3 linked regions of the Sus scrofa genome follow. The protein of the gene in region 3 interacts with the protein of the main gene of each other region in a pairwise test. Links are inferred from orthologs where the notes say so. Each region holds a gene or a part of one and is shown on either strand. Other genes may lie near its edges. The genes, in order: LPXN, TRIP6 and nuclear envelope pore membrane protein POM 121C-like.

Region 1 (5,606 bases), on a different chromosome or scaffold from region 3:
GTGATCACGGTATTTCATATTATTAAGGAATTACTTCCAAGGATATTCTGGAGGTGATAATGGCATTATGGTTATATGTATAAATGTATATACATATATATATGCTGAAATATTTACAGATGAAATGATATAATGTATGCAATTGCTTTAAAATAAACTAGAAATGGAAGGAATGATTGGGTGTATAAATGAAATAAGATTGAATAAAACTTGATGAATATTTAAGGTGGTTGATGGGTACATCAGATTTCTTTCCTTTTGTCAAATTTTTTTTTTTTTTTTTTGGTCTTTTTAGGGCCACACTCCGCTATATGGAATTCCCAAGCTAGAGGTCAAATCGGAACCACAGCTGCCAGCCTACACCACAGCAACTCAGGATCCCAGCCACGCCTGCAACTTACACACAGCTCATGGCACCACAAGATCCCCAACCTACTGAGGGATGCCAGGGATTGAACCCGAGTCCTAATGGATACTAGATGGGTTCATTACCGCTGAGCCACGACGGGAACTCTCCTTCCGTCAATTTTAAAAGTCTCCACAATAAAACGTTTTTTAAAAGAAAAAGAAAACTACAGTAAGAAGGGAAAGTAACCTTTTTCTCTCAAGACTTTGCAAGCCAGACTGAACACCAAATTGCTGAGTTCCAAATTTTTATTCAGTGGTCCTCTATTAAGATATAGCCTCTTGGAGTTCCAGTCATGGTTCAGTGGTTAAGGAACCTGACTAGCATCCATGAGGATGCAGGTTTGATCCTTGGCCTTGCTCAGTGGGTTAAGGATCCAGTGTTGCTGTAAGCTGCGGTGGAGGCCAGCAGTTGCAGCTCCAACTTGACCTCTAGCCTGGGAACTTCCATATGCTGCAGGTGTGGCCCTAAAACGACAAAAAAAAAAAAAAAAAAAAAAAGATATAGCCTCTTTCTTTTCTATTTTGTAAGCTTCGCTCCAACCAAAAGTCACAGATCCTCTTGGATTCAAAATAAAAAGGCATTTACAGTAAAGATGAGGAGAGACCAAAGACCCTCTACAAGAGAAGCAAAATGTACCACCAAGAGTGCAACATTATCCAGGCAGCATCAGCTAACCAAAGTTACTAAAACACTCCTTTCTGGGTCATGAGTTAACAGGCCTTTCTCTTCCTGTTTTCTGAGTGTACTAACACCCCCAGATTATCTGGCCTTTTGCCTGATTCTATAATTTGAAGATGACTAATTTCAGTATGACAAATACATACGGGATTATTGTTGTGTGGGGGATTTTATTAGACTGAAAACCCTACTGTCCTTTTCTATAGCTCTTCATCTGCAGAAATCAAATGATATCAACATTCACATTGAAGGAATTAAGTGAAGTCTCTTGGGAGTCACACTAGACTGCAATGACTTCATTCAGAGCCAGAGTCTGCTCCAAGTTCCCCTTTATCTAGCATCCCCTTATCATGAGGGTTTAGGTCAGACCTTCTGGATACAAACTACTAACCCTGGGGGAAGTACAGCAGAGAGGAAATATCAGCCCGCCTGGCCAGACCTGTCCTCCGTTCTATTTCTCCCCATTGGAGAAGAAAGTTCACCCTAGGTCCAAGAGGGGGTAGTTACTGAGCTGATGACAATTTAAAGGAGACTTCGAGGTGTAGCTATTAACAGCCTGATGAAGTTTAATCACCTGGATAATATGCATGAATTTTATATATATATATATAAAATATATATATATCTCCTAGGATATATATACAGGATGCCGGATGCTTTCTACATTTCTGGACCACATTACTCTTACCATTCATCCTGCTAAGGAAATGCAAAACTGCGCAAATCTATTTTTTAATTTTTTAAAAAATTATCTGGGTTAGCCTACTGGCTGGAACATCTGAGCCAACACACTTCTAAAATAGAACAGCTTGTGGCTTAATCAGTTTCGCTATCAGATGTTCTAAAGAGTGGCACTGAACAAATTATTTTGTTTTTCTTAGTTTTCTCAATTGGATTAAAAAAAAAAAGTGGGTACTACCTATTTCAAAGAGTTGCTTGGAACACTAAAATAATTAGCATATGTAAAAATGTCTAGTTTTAGCTTAAGTCATTGAATAAGTATTATTACCTTTTCCAATTACCTGCAGGAAAGCCATGAAATATCCCTAGTTAAAAAAAGAGAGCTATGCCGCAGGAGCGGCCCAAGAAATAACAAAAAGACAAAAAAAAAAAAAAAAAAAAAAATGGAGTTCCCGTCGTGGCGCAGTGGTTAACGAATCCGACTAGGAACCATGTGGTTGCGGGTTCGGTCCCTGCCCTTGCTCAGTGGGTTAACGATCCGGCGTTGCCTTGAGCTGTGGTGTAGGTTGCAGACGCGGCTCGGATCCTGCGTTGCTGTGGCTCTGGCGTAGGCTGGCGGCCACAGCTCCGATTGGACCCCTAGCCTGGGAACCTCCATATCCCCCGGAGCGGCCCAAGAAATAACAAAAAGACAAAAAAAAAAAAAATAAATAAAAAATAAAAAAAGAGAGCTTGACTCTAGTGGAACTCAGACAGGAATGTGAATTTCCCCACCCCTAGCAGAGAATAAGAATTTGGATTCTACCCCAAGTGCAAAGTTTATATTCTACTCCAAGTTTCAAAAGAGATTTTACGTCCAAAACAATTCAGTATTTATTAAATACCCTTTTCCTTTTTTTTTCCTTTTCATTAACATCTCTTCCCTCCTATAATTTGCCTTTGTTCCTTCCTCTACTCCTCCAGATCTCAAGTTAGTTTTTTTAATAGACAACCTGCAAGATACATTTTGCTGATGTTGTTGTCCGCACTTTTGACATACCCCAAACAGACAAAAACCCTGGACACTGTGGAATTACACAGCTTGGATAGTGGATAAATGTTAGTGACTGTGTTAGTAGGGACGATGGCAACGAAAGTTGGCAAAGGATATGGAATGAGTCCCAAGAATATCAAACCTTACATTACTCCAAAGATTTGAAACCAGGGATCTCTCCAAGCAATGGGGCCCATAGTTTCTCTTCTGGTTTCAATTGTTTTGGAATAGAAGGAGATATATTCACAGTCCACAGTAATCTGTGCCTTCAGAATTGCTCTCGGTAAAACCTTAGCAATGAAAGCACTAGTGTTAGAGGGCTGCATCTTCTTGATTTAACGCTGCACCATGGAACAAAGGAAACCACTTTCTCCAATCTTTGGGGATCCCTCCTTCTTCTACTTCTATCCCATTTCTTCTCCTCATAACACTTTAACTGCCCCCCTTCTTTCTGTTTTTTCCCTAAATCACATCTCTGAGGTTTGCCAATTCTGTGACCACTCTAGGATCTCTAGCAACTCATAGGAGCAAAATTCTCATAACAAAATAACAATTTCAATCAAAATTCAGTCCAAAAGTATTTGTGCAGTTTATTCTGTGGTTAGCACCAAATTCTCTGTCTACTGTGCCTCTGAAAACAGTGAACCCATAGTTCCCCAAAATAACAGTCCCTCATGCTTCACTCTTGGCCTGAAGTCAGGAGAGAAGTGAAAATAAAATCCTCCAACACTACCCTTCCTTATCCCACCACACGAGGAGATGGCAGCCAAGCATTCATTCCCCCAGAGTTTCTCTTCCAAGAAGCTCCTCACTCACCCAACTCTTCCATTGTCTCACACCCAAGATGCCCTGGTACCACAGGTTGTGAGGAACTGCTTTGGCAAGTGCTGAAGAACAGGACCACAAAGGAACTGAATGAGGCAGCACGCAGCAGCCTCTATAACCCTTTCTGGTTCCTCTATTTGCCTAGCACTTCCTCTCCCTTGATTTGGTGGGTTTCTTTCTCTCTTGTCCTTTTGCAGGTCAGAGTTTTTAAAATGACATAGAAAAGGTGGGTAGTTGGGTTTGAGTTCTCATTGTGCATTGGCTCGGGTGATAAAGATTCAAACCTAATTTTGAAAATTTTGAGAAACTCCTATGTGCCAGGATCCATCTTGAATTCATGGGAATAGCAGATTTGCACTTGTGTTTTTTCCCAGTGTGTGACTGTGTATCAGAGAATCTTTTTTTTTTTTTTTCTTTTTCTGTGAAGCTGGGGTTCATGCTTTTCATAAAATTCTCCTTCATAAAATTCTCATCAGAGTTAACCAGCACCCAATTCATTTTTTTTTTTTTTGGTCGCTCAGCAGATATAGAGTTCCCAGGCCAGGGATCAGAGCCCAGCCGCAGTTATGACCTCAGTCATAGCTGCCACAACACTGGATCTTTAACCCAGTGTGTGAGGCTGGGGATTGAACATGCATCCTGTTGAGCCACAGCAGGAGCTCCTCATTTTGCTGTCTTTACTTATCTGGAAATTATGCTCACCTGCTTTCCTAAATAGACTGTCAACCCATTAAAGGCAGAACAGGATTATCAGGACCAGGTTACATTTTAATTCCCTCGGCCAGGTTTATTTCAGTGGTTCAAAATGCAAACTATAGGGGTTGTGAAGAATGAAACTGGGAGATTTGAGACACCAGGTTCTAAGCTGCAGACATCTCAATTAAGCACAATTCCTGCCTACTGCCTTATAGCAGTTTTTCTGAAAAGTCACACTGAGATTAACTTTCACTTTTTTTTTACTGCTGTGATTTTATTCACCTTGAATAAAACATTTAAAAAAAGCCTAATATGAGAAGGCAGTATTTAAAGAACTAAAACTATGGCTCTGTGATATAGATAGTACCCTCATTTTTACCAGTGGTGAAATAGATAATAGTAACTTGCTAAAGATAACAGAATTAGTAGGTAGCTTTGTAACTTGCTATAAGATAGATTTATCTTCCAAGTTTGTAATCTTTCCTCTACAACAGAGTGATCTCTATTTAGGTTACTCTAAAGGAATCATTTGTTCTCCATTTCATTCCATTGTGACTCTCAAAACTTTTTTTTTTTTTTTTTTTTTTTTTGACATAAAGGAGATCCCACCTCTGCATTACTCTGAGCAGCCATTGGATGTCAGTGCCATTCTAAAAGTATGCTCACTGCAAATGGGGGTTTGAAAATTTTCCATCTACACTATGACAGTTTTTACAGTTGAAATGCCAGTAGCCCCATGAAAGTGCGAAACATTCCACAAAGACTATGAACATTGGCCCATCTGAAGTGGTAACTGAACCAAAACACTGGAAGGAATAATGTTCTCAGCCCTTGGCTTGCAAATGTGGGACTCCAACTGCAGTTTAACTGAATGATTCATGTGACACTTAAAACTGGATCCCAAGATCTTGTTTCTATTCATTTACTTTGGAGACTTTTAATTCCGGAGTTTTATTTTCCATGGTTAAGAATCGTTCCTGCAGATCGCTTCTTGATTATAATAGATGAAAGTCAGAAAGGAAGGAACGCAAGAGGCTCACTACCCTCACCAAATCCAACTTGAAGATGAGCAAATGGAAACTTCGTTTTGATGCATTAGGGCAATTTAGTTGCACATGTTGGTGGAGAGAAAAGTAATTTCTGACAAAGCTGCTATTCTGACCACGCTTCCTGTGCAACACAAAACAAGTAAAAACCACAGAAGCACACGGCTTCAGGGCGGGGGGTGTGAAGGAGGCCTTCAATTTTCTGGGTGGGTCACCAGAGTCACGCAAACAACCCTTC
Region 2 (5,611 bases), on a different chromosome or scaffold from region 3:
GGTGTGCAGCTTAAAGCCTGGAGTGAAATGCATCCTACTGCCTCATGACGCCTGGAAGTGCTCCTTAGTTAAAAGAATCCTAAGGCGAACTCTGTCAATTTAAGTGGGGGAGATTAGTCATGAAGATAAATGCCTGTGAAAGTGTTTGGGAAAACTCAAAGTCATTACGCAAATGTGCATAATGTTGCCTTAAGAGGCCAAGCACTGTGCAAATGTCATACCTGCTGGCTGACACGTCGCTGCCAGAGGGTGGGAGTGGGTGCCTGTTAGTATGGTGTGAACTCAGCCTGTGACTGATTCCTTGGGGCTCCTTCCTGCCTATCCCTCTCTGCCCCCAGGTGGCATGAAGCCCAACACACTGGTCCTGGGTTTCTACGATGATGCTGCGCCCCAGGACCACTTCCTGACAGATCCAGCTTTCTCTGAGCCTGCTGATGCCACCCAGGAGGGCGGGTCCCCAGCCCTGAGCACCCTGTTCCCTCCACCCCGGGCTCCTGGGAGCCCCCGGGCTCTCAGTCCCCAGGACTATGTGGCCACTGTGGCAGACGCCCTGAAGATGAATAAGAATGTGGTTCTTGCCCGGGCTTGTGGGGCCCTGCCCCCTGAGCGACTGAGCCGGGGTTCCGGGGGTACCTCTCAGCCACATCATGTGGACGTGTGGCCCCTCAACCTGCTGCGGCCCCGGGGTGGACCTGGCTACGTGGACGTCTGCGGCCTCTTCCTGCTGCAGATGGCCACCATCTTGGGCATGGTGCCTGCTTGGCACACTGCCCGCCTCCGGATCTTCTTGTGCCTGGGGCCTCGGGAGGCCCCAGGGGCAGCCGAGGGGCGGCTCCGGGCACTGCTGAGCCAGCTGAGGATCCGGGCAGAGGTGCAGGAGGTTGTGTGGGGTGAGGGGGCTGGGTCCGAGGAGCCTGAGGAGGAGGAGGAGGGGGACTTTGTGAATGGCAGGCGCGGAGACGCAGAGGCAGAGGCCCTGGCACGCAGCGCCAACGCCCTGGTTCGGGCCCAGCAGGGGCGCGGCAGAGGAGGAGGGCCTGGTGGGCCTGAGGGTGGGGATGGCGAGGAAGGGCCCACCACCGCCCTCACGTTCTTGTACCTGCCTCGGCCGCCTGCTGATCCCTCTCGCTACCCTCGCTACCTGGCGCTGCTGGAAATTCTGAGCCATGACCTGGGCCCCACGCTGCTCATTCATGGCATCACCCCTGTCACTTGCACTGATCTCTGATGCCGGTTCCTAGTAGAGAGTGTCCAGGTCGAGTGGCCCACTTTGCTTGGCGGGTTGAGGAGGGGAGGTGCTGCCTCTTGCCCTCCTTGTACTTGGGACTCGGACCCTGGTGGAGGTATTAGGGGAACCTGGTCTTTGGGAGAGGGTCCTCGCTGTGCCCAGGGCAGCTGAGCCGGCGGCCACCACTGGCGAGAAGTCAGCAGCCCTCCCCCACGCTGGCCTCCCTCCCTTCACTGGTGCCTTGACGGGGCTGGGTCTCCGCTTGTGACTCTAGGCTACCTCAGTCTCCCCGCCCCTTGCCCAGTAGACTCCTCACCCTTGAGGTTGTGATGTTTTTGTTCCGTTTTATTTTTCTAACTGCTGAATGTGAATAAAAGACCAAAACACTAGGTGCTGGCCGAGCGTTTCTGGAGGGAGCCGGTAGGGGGGACAGAATGCGGGACGAATCTGTATGCGGGGAGGGGCACTGGAGCATCCCAGCGCAAGGGGGCCACGTGCGGACTTGGGGCACAAGAGCCCCGTGTTAAAGGAGGCTGCCTGAGCCTCCCACCCCCACCCCCCGGGCCCACGCTCTGGAGGAAAGCCGCCCCGGCTCGCAGGAGGGGGCCGACTAGGGGAGGGACGGCAGTTTAGGGCCTAGGGGGCCACGTGACCCTCCCCCAGGAATGCGATGACGTCATCGGGGGCGTGGCCGTCCCCAAAATTGGGGAGGAAGGGGAAAAAAAAAAGCCAGAAAAAGTTTCTGTCCTGGAGTCCCAAGCGAGGTGTCGGGGGGAAGAAGGGGTCAAAGTCAGAGCCCTGGGCTCCGTGGGGCCCTGACCGCTGTCTGGAGTCCCCCATTCCAGACCATGTCCGGGCCCACCTGGCTCCCCCCGAAGCAGCCGGAGCCCGCCAGAGCCCCTCAGGGGAGAGCGCTCCCCCGAGGCGCCTCCGGGCCGCCGCCAGCCCACGGAGCAGGTAAGGCAGCCCCAGTGCGGTGCGGAGGCCACCGGGCCACCAACACTCAACTCTGCCCTGCTGCTCTTGCCTCCCGCTGAGCCTGCCCCTGTCGCCCCTTCCCCAAGCCCGGCTGGAACCCGCCGCGCCCCCGCCCTCGCCCTCTCCCAGCCCTCACTGCCTCCTGCCCCATTCTCGGACCCCAGATGCGGGGGGAGAGGGGTGAAGAGGGACCCAAGACCGGTGGCCTCCACAAGTGTCACCCTCCTCTCCTTCCCCATCCCCACCTTGGCTCTCTCTTCCCTCACCCCAGCACTCCAGTCCCACCCCAGGGTCAATTTTTGCCCCCTCCCATCTGAGCAGTGTTACCAGGCCCCTGGGGGACCGGAGGATCCGGGCCTGGCCTGGGTGGGGTGCCATGGAGCACCCCAACGCTCACAGGTGAGCACCGCGATTAGGGGGTGTGGGGGGGACTTAGGGCAGGAGAAGAGGCCATATGAGTTGCATTCTCCCTGCTTTTGCTCTATCTCCAGGGGCTCCCCCCGGACAGGGGGGCCTTGCGCCCAGGAAGTCTGGATGCTGAGATAGATTCCCTGACCAGCATGTTGGCTGAGTTGGACGGGGGTCGGGGTCACGCCCCACGGCGGCCTGACCGGCAGGTGACTCCCCGCTCCTGTCCCTCCCTGTCCTTGTCCCCCACCCCTCCCCCGCAACCTGGTTCCTGCTCTGTATTCTCACTCCTCTTCTCCCTCCACATGGGGGATGCACCCACCAGCGAGGAGGAAGCTGGGCCACCAAAACGTACTAGGTTGCCAGCCACTCAAGGACGGGCCCTTGTCAAAACCAGTGCTTACCTGGGTGCCACAGACACAGGGTTCAGGGGTTCCACAGATGTGTGTTCTGGATTGGGCCCAGCTCATGCCTTCTGGTCTGTGCTTCTCTCCAGGCTTATGAGCCCCATCAGCTCCCTGCCTACCGCTCAGGCCCTGGCTCCCTGAAGCCGAATGGAGGGAGTGTTCCTCCCACACCACTCCCAGCGGCCTCCTATGGCGGCCCCACGCCGGCCTCCTATGCTACGGCCAGCACCCCCGCCGGCCCTGCCTTCCCTGTGCAAGTGAAGGTGGCACAACCAGTGAGAGGCTGTGGCCCCCCCAGGCGGGGGGCCCCTCAGGCCTCGGGGCCCCTCCCCGGCCCCCACTTTCCTCTCCCAGGCCGAGGTGAAGTCTGGGGGGCTGGCTACAGGAGCCACCGTGAGCCAGGGCCAGGGGGTAAAGAGGAGGCTGCCGGAGTCTCCGGCCCTCCGGGAGGAAGAGGAGGCGGGTACGGGCCCCAGGTAAGCCCTGGGCCCTGGGATTTGGGGTCCTCAAAGACAGTTGGATGCTGACTGGGTGGGGTGGGGGTGGGGGTTGATGTTCCAGTTTTCAAGCTCTGGATTCCCTGGGGGCGGGGGGCAGGTCAGGAAATAAAGGAGGGAGGGGACTAGATCTGCACACTGGCTCCCAGAGGCACACCCCTGGCCCCTGGGCTGGGGTGTTCTCCTGTGAGCTTTTGGGTGGAATTGCCTGATCACTCTCGGTGACAGTATTGGGAGGGAGAGGTAGGATTGAACCCCTGATTCTCACCTCCCAGGTCCCCCTGAGCCAGCCTCCCGAGGAGGAACTTGAGAGGCTGACCAAGAAGCTGGTGCAGGACATGAACCACCCGCCCAGTGGGGAGTACTTCGGTGAGCTGCCCCCCGCCACACACCCCGGGCAGGGGGTGGGGGGAGGTCAGGTAGACAGTGGGTCTGGCTTCCCAGTCTATGGTTGACCCTGACCCATCCCGTCCCCAGGCCGGTGTGGTGGCTGCGGAGAAGATGTGGTTGGGGATGGGGCCGGGGTTGTGGCCCTGGACCGTGTCTTTCACGTTGGCTGCTTTGTCTGTTCTACGTGCCGGGCCCATCTCCGGGGCCAGCATTTCTATGCCGTGGAGAGGAGAGCGTATTGTGAGAGCTGCTATGTGGTGAGTGGTGGGGGCTGGCGGGGGGTGGTGGCAGATGGAGTCAGCAGCAGGAAGCAGGGGGCTTCCATCCAGAGTGGGAACTAGGTGTCCAAGCCCCAAAGAATAAGGCTCGAAGCAGGAGAACTAAAACTAATAAAGAAAAAGGCATGGATGAAATAAGTAGCTGTATACTGGTTGCTGGAGAGAAAGGACAACATTCCCCTGTAAGAGTGAGGCATTTATTTTCGGTTTAGGGGAATGTGCTGAATCCCCACAATGCCCTGGTGAGGCAGCTGTTACTCCTGAAGGAAACTGAAGGTCTGAGAGCTTAAATATCTTGTCTGGGGAAGCTGCAGTGCTAGGATTTGCACGCATACCTGTTCAAGGCCACCTTTAACTGAATCACATGCAGGGGGCTACATAAATAGGTGGGGGAGCTGGCAGGATGCCTGTAAGGGCTGCCATGGGTCACCCCAGCCCTGACCTTCCTGCTCTCCTTCCTGACAGGCCACCCTGGAGAAGTGCTCCACCTGTTCCCAGCCCATCCTGGACCGGATTCTGCGGGCCATGGGGAAGGCCTATCACCCTGGCTGCTTCACTTGTGTGGTGTGCCACCGCGGCCTCGATGGCATCCCCTTCACTGTGGATGCCACCAGCCAGATCCACTGCATTGAGGACTTCCACAGGTCAGCTAGGTCATCAACCTTTGTCTCAGGATGTCTGGCCTGGCCTTTCCCATCTTCCTTATCTCTCCTTCATATCCCAGTACCAACCTCTCATGTTTTGCGCCCCTGGCCATGCCTCATTCTTGGTAACACAACTCTCTTCCATAAGATCCAAGACCCTACCTCTGGCCTATCCTGTTCCCTCCCACCCTGGGCTTCGTTGTTGGTCCCCTCCAATCCTGGGGCTTGACAGCCTCCTTGGTTCCCTTCCACTCTAGGAAGTTTGCCCCACGATGCTCAGTGTGTGGTGGGGCCATCATGCCTGAGCCCGGTCAGGAGGAGACTGTGCGAATTGTAGCTCTGGACCGCAGTTTTCACGTTGGGTGTTACAAGTGCGAGGTCAGGGGGCCTGGGGCGCTGGGTATGGTAGAGCACAAGAAAGAAGGGGCTCAGGGATCCAGGCCTGATGAAAAGCTACTGTTTCTTTCCAAACAGGAGTGCGGGCTGCTGCTCTCCTCTGAGGGTGAATGTCAGGGTTGCTACCCGCTGGATGGGCACATCTTGTGCAAGGCCTGCAGTGCCTGGCGCATCCAAGAGCTCTCAGCCACCGTCACCACCGACTGCTGAGTCTTTCCCAGAAGCACCTACTCTGTTCTCCCTTCCCATCAACCACCCTCCCTGACATCTACCTTTATAATGTTGTCACCAAATGCCATCTTCTCTTCCTCTAATCATGAAATAATAATCCCTCAAGAGTGTACAAAACACTTTGAAGTCTATTGTCTCATCTGATGCTTTTTTT
Region 3 (5,831 bases):
TCCCATCCCCCCAGAGGCCTCGGCCTTCTGCTTCCTGCAAGACAGGGAGCAGCCTCTGCACCTGCCACTCCTCCTCCCCGCCCCATGGCTGAAGCAGGACTGGTTCAGAGATCTCAGCTTCATGGAACGAGAAGGTGAGAGGCTCTTTCTGGCAGGTGCCAAGGTCCAGTTGTTGGCAGGAGGGGTAAAGGGGAGTGGGAGGGGGGGTAAGGGCCAGGGGCTACTTCTTGCTAGTGTGCTGCCTCCGGGCCTGTAGCTGTTGCCAAGCCCCTGGGGGCTTGGGTCCCGCACCAATGGAAAAGGAAGGTCCTTTTCTAACAAAGCCCTGGATGGGTGTTGAGGACGCCCCAAAGGAGAGGCTGCTGCCTGATGTGCCCACCCCAGGGCCAGGGGTGCTCTGACCAAAGGTGGGCGTGGAGGCGCCTCCAAACACAGGTTGGCTCTCTGCACTGCAGGCCACATTGAGGCCAAAGGATGTGTTCTGGCTGGGTGCACCCAGGCTCTTCTGACTCAAGCCTCCCACAAAAGGAGTCGTGCTGCCAGCGGTCCCACTCTGTCCTGCTCCGGAGCCAAAGGCTCCTGAGGCAGAGCTGGTGCCTGGCGAAGCCACACTGAGCCCAAAGCCTCTGCTGCCAGACGGTGGGGCTGCCCGTCCCCCAAATGTGAAGGGAGATGGTGTCGTGCTACTGGAGCGACTGGCCCCACTGCCGGTGGTCTGGGCTGTAGCTCCAAAGCCAGAGGTGGTGGCTGCACCAAAGGAGAAAACGGCTGTGGTGCTGCCAAAGGCTGGCTGGGGGCCGGCAAGGGTGCCCGAGGCAGAGGCTGTGGCTTTCAGGCCACCAAGAGTGGACTGTGTGGTGCTGCCAAAGGCTGGCTGGGCTGTGGCTGGAGTGGCAGTCGGGGCGGGGGCTGCAGAGTTTCCCAACGTGAAGGAGCTGCACAAGCTGGGGACAAGGGATGGCTTGGCAGCCCACTGCTGCTGCCCATCAGTGGCCCCAAACCTGGGCTGGGCGTTGGATCCTGGCTTGGCACTTGAGCCAAAGGGAACGCTGATGGCTGGGCGGGGGGTGCTACTGAATGTCAGCGTGGCCTGGCTGGTGGTGGCTGGGGCAGAGGCTGGAAGGCTGCTGCCCAAATCACTAAAGCCAGCAGTGCTAGCGCTGCTGCTGCTGCTGCTGCTGCTGCTGCTGCTGCTGCTGGCCACTGCCTGAGGGGCACCGGGAAGGGACTGGCCAAAGCTGGTGACTGCTCTTGAAGGAGGCATGGTGGGAGGCTTACCAAGCTGGACTATGGAGCTGGAACCCACAGCTGGGTTTGTGAAGCTGCCACCAGAGGCAGAGGGAGTCCCAAAGAGGACGGGCTGGGAGGTGGAAGCGGTGGTGCTAGTCACGCGGCTCAGGGTGCTGGTCATGCTGCTCACACGGAAGCTGAACACGGGCTTCAGAGCAGAGTCTACGGAGGTGCCAGCTGTGGTCGCAGCAGCCACTGCAGAGGTGGCGCGGGTCTGGCCAGGGAAGAGAGGGGCGCTCATAGCACTGGCTGGAGGAGCTGCCTGCTTGAAGAAGGGAGTTACTATGGGCACGGATGCAGGGGCCTCCCTGGTGTGAAAGCCAGGTTTAAAAGTGCGGGATGGGCTGCGGGTACTTGCGGGGAGGGCTGAGCTGGAAGATGTGGTGGCTGGGACCTTGGAAGGGCTAGAGGGCAAGGGGCCCTCGTTCTTGCTTTTAGGAGGGGGCCAAAAAATGGGATCTAGCACGGGAGATGGTGAAGACACAGCAGGAGCTGCAGAGGCAGGAGGCTTAGCAGGTGAGGTGCCCAGCATTCTACAAGGAATGTTCTGCTTGGGAGGGGGAGGGGGGGCCGACAAGGCTTGGGAGTTGGCAGACGTCTCAGCCTCAGGGGCTGGAGGTGACTTGGTGTCAGTGACTGGTCCTGTGGAAGAAGCGGGGGTAAGGGTGCCGCCACAGAAAACGGCTGTAGGTTTGCAGTCCGAGGAGGTGCCCGCGAGAGGCCCTGACTGTGAAGAGCCAAGAGGGGCCAGAGGGCTGGGTGTCTTCGGAGGCGAATGGGCCACAGGGCTTGCCATGCCAGCAGACTTGGGGGGCGATGGTAGGCCTGGGGAATCCTGCTGCTTCTTCAAGCTCTTCAACAGTGGGCTAGGGCTTGGGGCTGGGAGGGAGGTTTTGGTGGCAGGAGTCCCAGCAGTAGGCAGGCTGAAAGAGACCGGAGGCTGACCGGTAGGTGGGTTCTCAGGGACAGCGCTCAAGGCAGTATCAGTCTTATCCTCCAAGATCTCGCTGAACCATTGTGACAAAGCTTTCTTTTCCAAGTCTAAGTCTTCCGCAGTGACTGAATACCCAAGCTGGGGAGGTGGAGGCAAGGTCAGCTGCTCCCCTCGCCAGGACCGCAGCAGCTGCACCTTCCGCTTACGCTGCCCTGAGCTGCCAGGTGTTGGTGGAGAACTCCACGAGTTCTCTTTCTCCCTTGTGGTGGTATCGGCAACTTCTGCTCCCTGGGACTCCTTGTCTGTTGTGAATGCAGTTGAAGAAGCCGAATGATGAGAAAGTTCCTCTTCTCTTATTTCCTTTGCTGGCCTCGCTAGAGCCTGGGAGCAGGACGAAGCTGGCCTGGAGAAGGGGGATGACCTAGGACCACTCCTCTTCCGCAGCTGAGAGAGACCTCCAGTAGAACTGTAAGAACTGGTGATGGCATTGCGCCTGGAGATGGGCACGCCGCCTGAGTACGTGCTGGTCAAGGAGCTCAGAGAAGAGGTGCGTGACCTCTTATTTAAGTGGGCATCTGAGCTCTGGGGACTGAGACCTCTCTTCAGAGACCCAGGCTTAGGCACAAAAGAGGCAGGGATTCCACTGGCCGCCAGCGGCTCAAATGCTGAATGTCCACGTCCACTGCTGTCCTGGCGCCTTCTCTTTTCTTCCTGGCCATCAGCCAGTATTTGGTCTTCCTCCTTCACCGTCCTTTTCTTCCTCGCTCTGAGGGCACTCAGCACAGTCTCCTTTGCACATGGGTCTGGGGCACTAGCTGATGGGGAGGACACGGTTGAGCTGCTACTCTGCTCTGATAGCGGGGGACGAATCCGCTTGCTATCCGGAGGAGCAATCCTCACTCTCACTGGGCTGCACACCACTTTGGAATTGCGAGCAGAGAGCACAGTCTTCCTGTGACAACTATTCCAGCACACCGTGGGAAGGACCCCCAGCGAGGCATAGTGGGCCTGCTGGATTGGGTATCTCCTTCGAGGTGTTATTACAAACCGATGTGCTACAGGGCCACAACCCCGGAGGGCCGTCCTCCTAGAGGGTCGGGGAAGAGGAGTGGGTAGGGAGGGGTGAGTATGAACCCCGGGGGTATGGCCTGATGGAGCTGGCGGCATGGGGCGGGTGGGCGGGCGGCGGCCAGGCCTCTCCCGCAGGTCCCTGGCCTCCGAGGTGGAGGCAGGCTGCGGGGGGGCGGGCTTGCCTAGGTAGTTGCCCATGAGGAACAGATGAGCGCGGGTCCAAGTCCTTGGAAGAGGCGCGGAGGCTCTAGGAGACTTCCGTTTACTGCTGACTACGCCGGAGGCAAGGTGAGCAGTGTTCCATGGCAGCGCGCCTTCAGAACCAGCGAGGTTCGGAAGGCGCGTGAACCTCGGGGGGCTCGCGGCGCAGGCCCCACCAGGCCGCGGTCGCCCCCACAGCTAGCCAGGCCAGCGTAACCGCCACCCCCGCGGGCACCAAGTACAGCACGAGGCCCAGCAGCCACAGGCCCAGCAGCGCTGCCCCTGCCCCTGGCGGCACCAGCCCACAGACCCAAGGTCCCTAACACTGGCTATCAACCTCCGCTCCACAGGTTGCCTCCTGCAGTCACCGCAGCTGCTGCAGACACCGTGACTACGCAAGCAAGGGTAGCCCCGGAATAAATAATAATAACAAACAGTCAAAAATAAAACCCCCAAAACAAATGTGCATGCGCCAGATATACTTGAGTGAAAATAATCACATAGGTAAGATACAGACACATATACCTATATCATAAAAATGCTTGGAGAATGTCAACTTTAGGATAATGCTACACAGGCAGGGGATGAGGCTATCAATGAAGACAAAAGGGGAACCTCAGTGGGATGTACTGTACTTGATTTTACAACACTTTCCAAATCTGAAATAGACCTAAGTAACATGTTAAGACATGTTAAACATAATCTCCATATGATGAATGATTCATCATCTTTGTATTTTTATCTACGGTTGAAATAATGAGAAAGTGGAGAAACGTACTACATGTCTGTATGTTAAAATGTTTAGAGGATTCAGAAAAGAACACAAATAAAACACTATCTTTACATAGATAGACAGGTAAATAGTCTAATATATTCGACCAAAATAATAGTCTTTGGTGCCCCACAGTTTTAAAACTTCCAAAGGACCGATTACTTGTTCCCTCATATGACTACATGACTTGTAATCATTCAGATGATTCCATCTGAATGGTTAAAAAGAAACCAAATGAGGTCATCTCATTTGAATGTAAATTAGTACAGCCATGGTGGGAACCAGCATGGAGATTCCTCAAAAAGTTAAAGGAAAAAAAAAAAAATACCATAGGATACAGCAATTTCAAACTGAAGGACATGAAATCGGTACTTCAAAATGATATCTGCACTCCCATGTTCACTGCAGGAACATTCACCATAACCAATATAAGAAAACCAGGTAAGTGCCCAACAACAGATGAATGGATAACGTGTGTGTGTGTGTGTGTGTGTGTGTGTGTGTGTGTGTGTGTGTGTGTGTGTGTGTGTGTGTGTGTGTGTGTGTGTGTGTGTGTGTGTGTGTGTGTGTGTGTGTGTGTGTGTGTGTGTGTGTGTGTGTGTGTGTGTGTGTGTGTGTGTGTGTGTGTGTGTGTGTGTGTGTTATCCAGCCTTAAATGCCCAAGAGATCCGGCCACTTGCAGCAAAACAGATGAACCTGGAAGACCTGCTAAATCACATAAACCAAACACAAAAAGATAGAATGATCTCACTCATTTATAGGATCCAAAAGTGGAATACATAGAAGCAAAGACTAGAACAGAGCTCACCAGGGGCAGAGAGGTGGGAGAAATGAGCATATGTTGGCCAAAGGACACACACTGCACCTATGTAGGAAAAATTAAGCTCGAGCGCCAAAGCAGAGTATGGTAACTATAAATTAGACCAAATGGTCCTAACAGGCATACATAAATATTTCTACGCAACAGAACAACAAACACTCTTCTCAAGTGCACAGAGCACATTCTTTAGGATAGATCATATCATGAGCCACATCATGTTAAACTTTCACAAATTTTAAAAGATTTAAAACTATAGCAACTTGTTCACCCATGATGGATAAGACACTAAAAAACAACAAGAGGAATGCTGGAAAGTTTACAAACATACAGAAACTAAACAACACAACTCGGAACTACCAATGGGTCAAATAAGAAATCCAAAGATTTACAACAAAATAACCTGTTGTTACCTGTTGTTCATTTAAACAAATGAAAACAGAAACGCAATATACCAAAACATAGAGGATGCTACAAAAGCAGTTCCTACAAGGAATTTTATATTGATACAAGCAAATGTTAAGAAGAAAACATCTTGGGTTCCCGTCATGGAACAGTGGATACCAAACCGACTAGGAACCATGAGGTTGCAGGTTCGATCCCTGGCCTCGCTCAGTGGGTTAAGGATCCCATGGTGCCCTGAGCCATGGCATAGTTCACAGATATGGCTCGGATCTGGCATTGCGTTTGCTGTGGTGTAGGCTGGCAGCTATAGCTCCGACTGGACCCCTAGCCTGGGAGACTCC

What was found.
Region 1: the proteins of nuclear envelope pore membrane protein POM 121C-like (region 3) and LPXN interact in binary tests that used the Homo sapiens proteins (3 or more experiments, as listed by UniProt). The two-hybrid records come from large-scale screens. The link is inferred for Sus scrofa from reciprocal best matches to the Homo sapiens genes POM121 and LPXN.
Region 2: the proteins of nuclear envelope pore membrane protein POM 121C-like (region 3) and TRIP6 interact in binary tests that used the Homo sapiens proteins (3 or more experiments, as listed by UniProt). The two-hybrid records come from large-scale screens. The link is inferred for Sus scrofa from reciprocal best matches to the Homo sapiens genes POM121 and TRIP6.

Annotation. Positions count from the first base shown.
Region 1 is NC_010444.4:12,532,947-12,538,552, reverse strand, and holds the start of LPXN (leupaxin), read right to left. Parts: upstream 3,774-5,606; 5' UTR 3,631-3,773; coding exon 3,618-3,630; intron 1-3,617. UniProt on the Homo sapiens protein: Transcriptional coactivator for androgen receptor (AR) and serum response factor (SRF). Contributes to the regulation of cell adhesion, spreading and cell migration and acts as a negative regulator in integrin-mediated cell adhesion events.
Region 2 is NC_010445.4:8,711,304-8,716,914, forward strand, and holds TRIP6 (thyroid receptor-interacting protein 6), read left to right. Parts: upstream 1-1,917; 5' UTR 1,918-2,076; coding exon 2,077-2,185; intron 2,186-2,477; coding exon 2,478-2,605; intron 2,606-2,697; coding exon 2,698-2,823; intron 2,824-3,110; coding exon 3,111-3,497; intron 3,498-3,793; coding exon 3,794-3,887; intron 3,888-3,995; coding exon 3,996-4,165; intron 4,166-4,651; coding exon 4,652-4,830; intron 4,831-5,087; coding exon 5,088-5,208; intron 5,209-5,304; coding exon 5,305-5,436; 3' UTR 5,437-5,588; downstream 5,589-5,611. Other genes in the region: SLC12A9 (solute carrier family 12 member 9), read left to right, coding at 339-1,228. UniProt on the Homo sapiens protein: Relays signals from the cell surface to the nucleus to weaken adherens junction and promote actin cytoskeleton reorganization and cell invasiveness. Involved in lysophosphatidic acid-induced cell adhesion and migration.
Region 3 is NW_018085157.1:59,686-65,516, reverse strand, and holds the start of nuclear envelope pore membrane protein POM 121C-like, read right to left. Parts: upstream 3,588-5,831; 5' UTR 3,494-3,587; coding exon 221-3,493; 3' UTR 1-220. UniProt on the Homo sapiens protein: Essential component of the nuclear pore complex (NPC). The repeat-containing domain may be involved in anchoring components of the pore complex to the pore membrane. When overexpressed in cells induces the formation of cytoplasmic annulate lamellae (AL).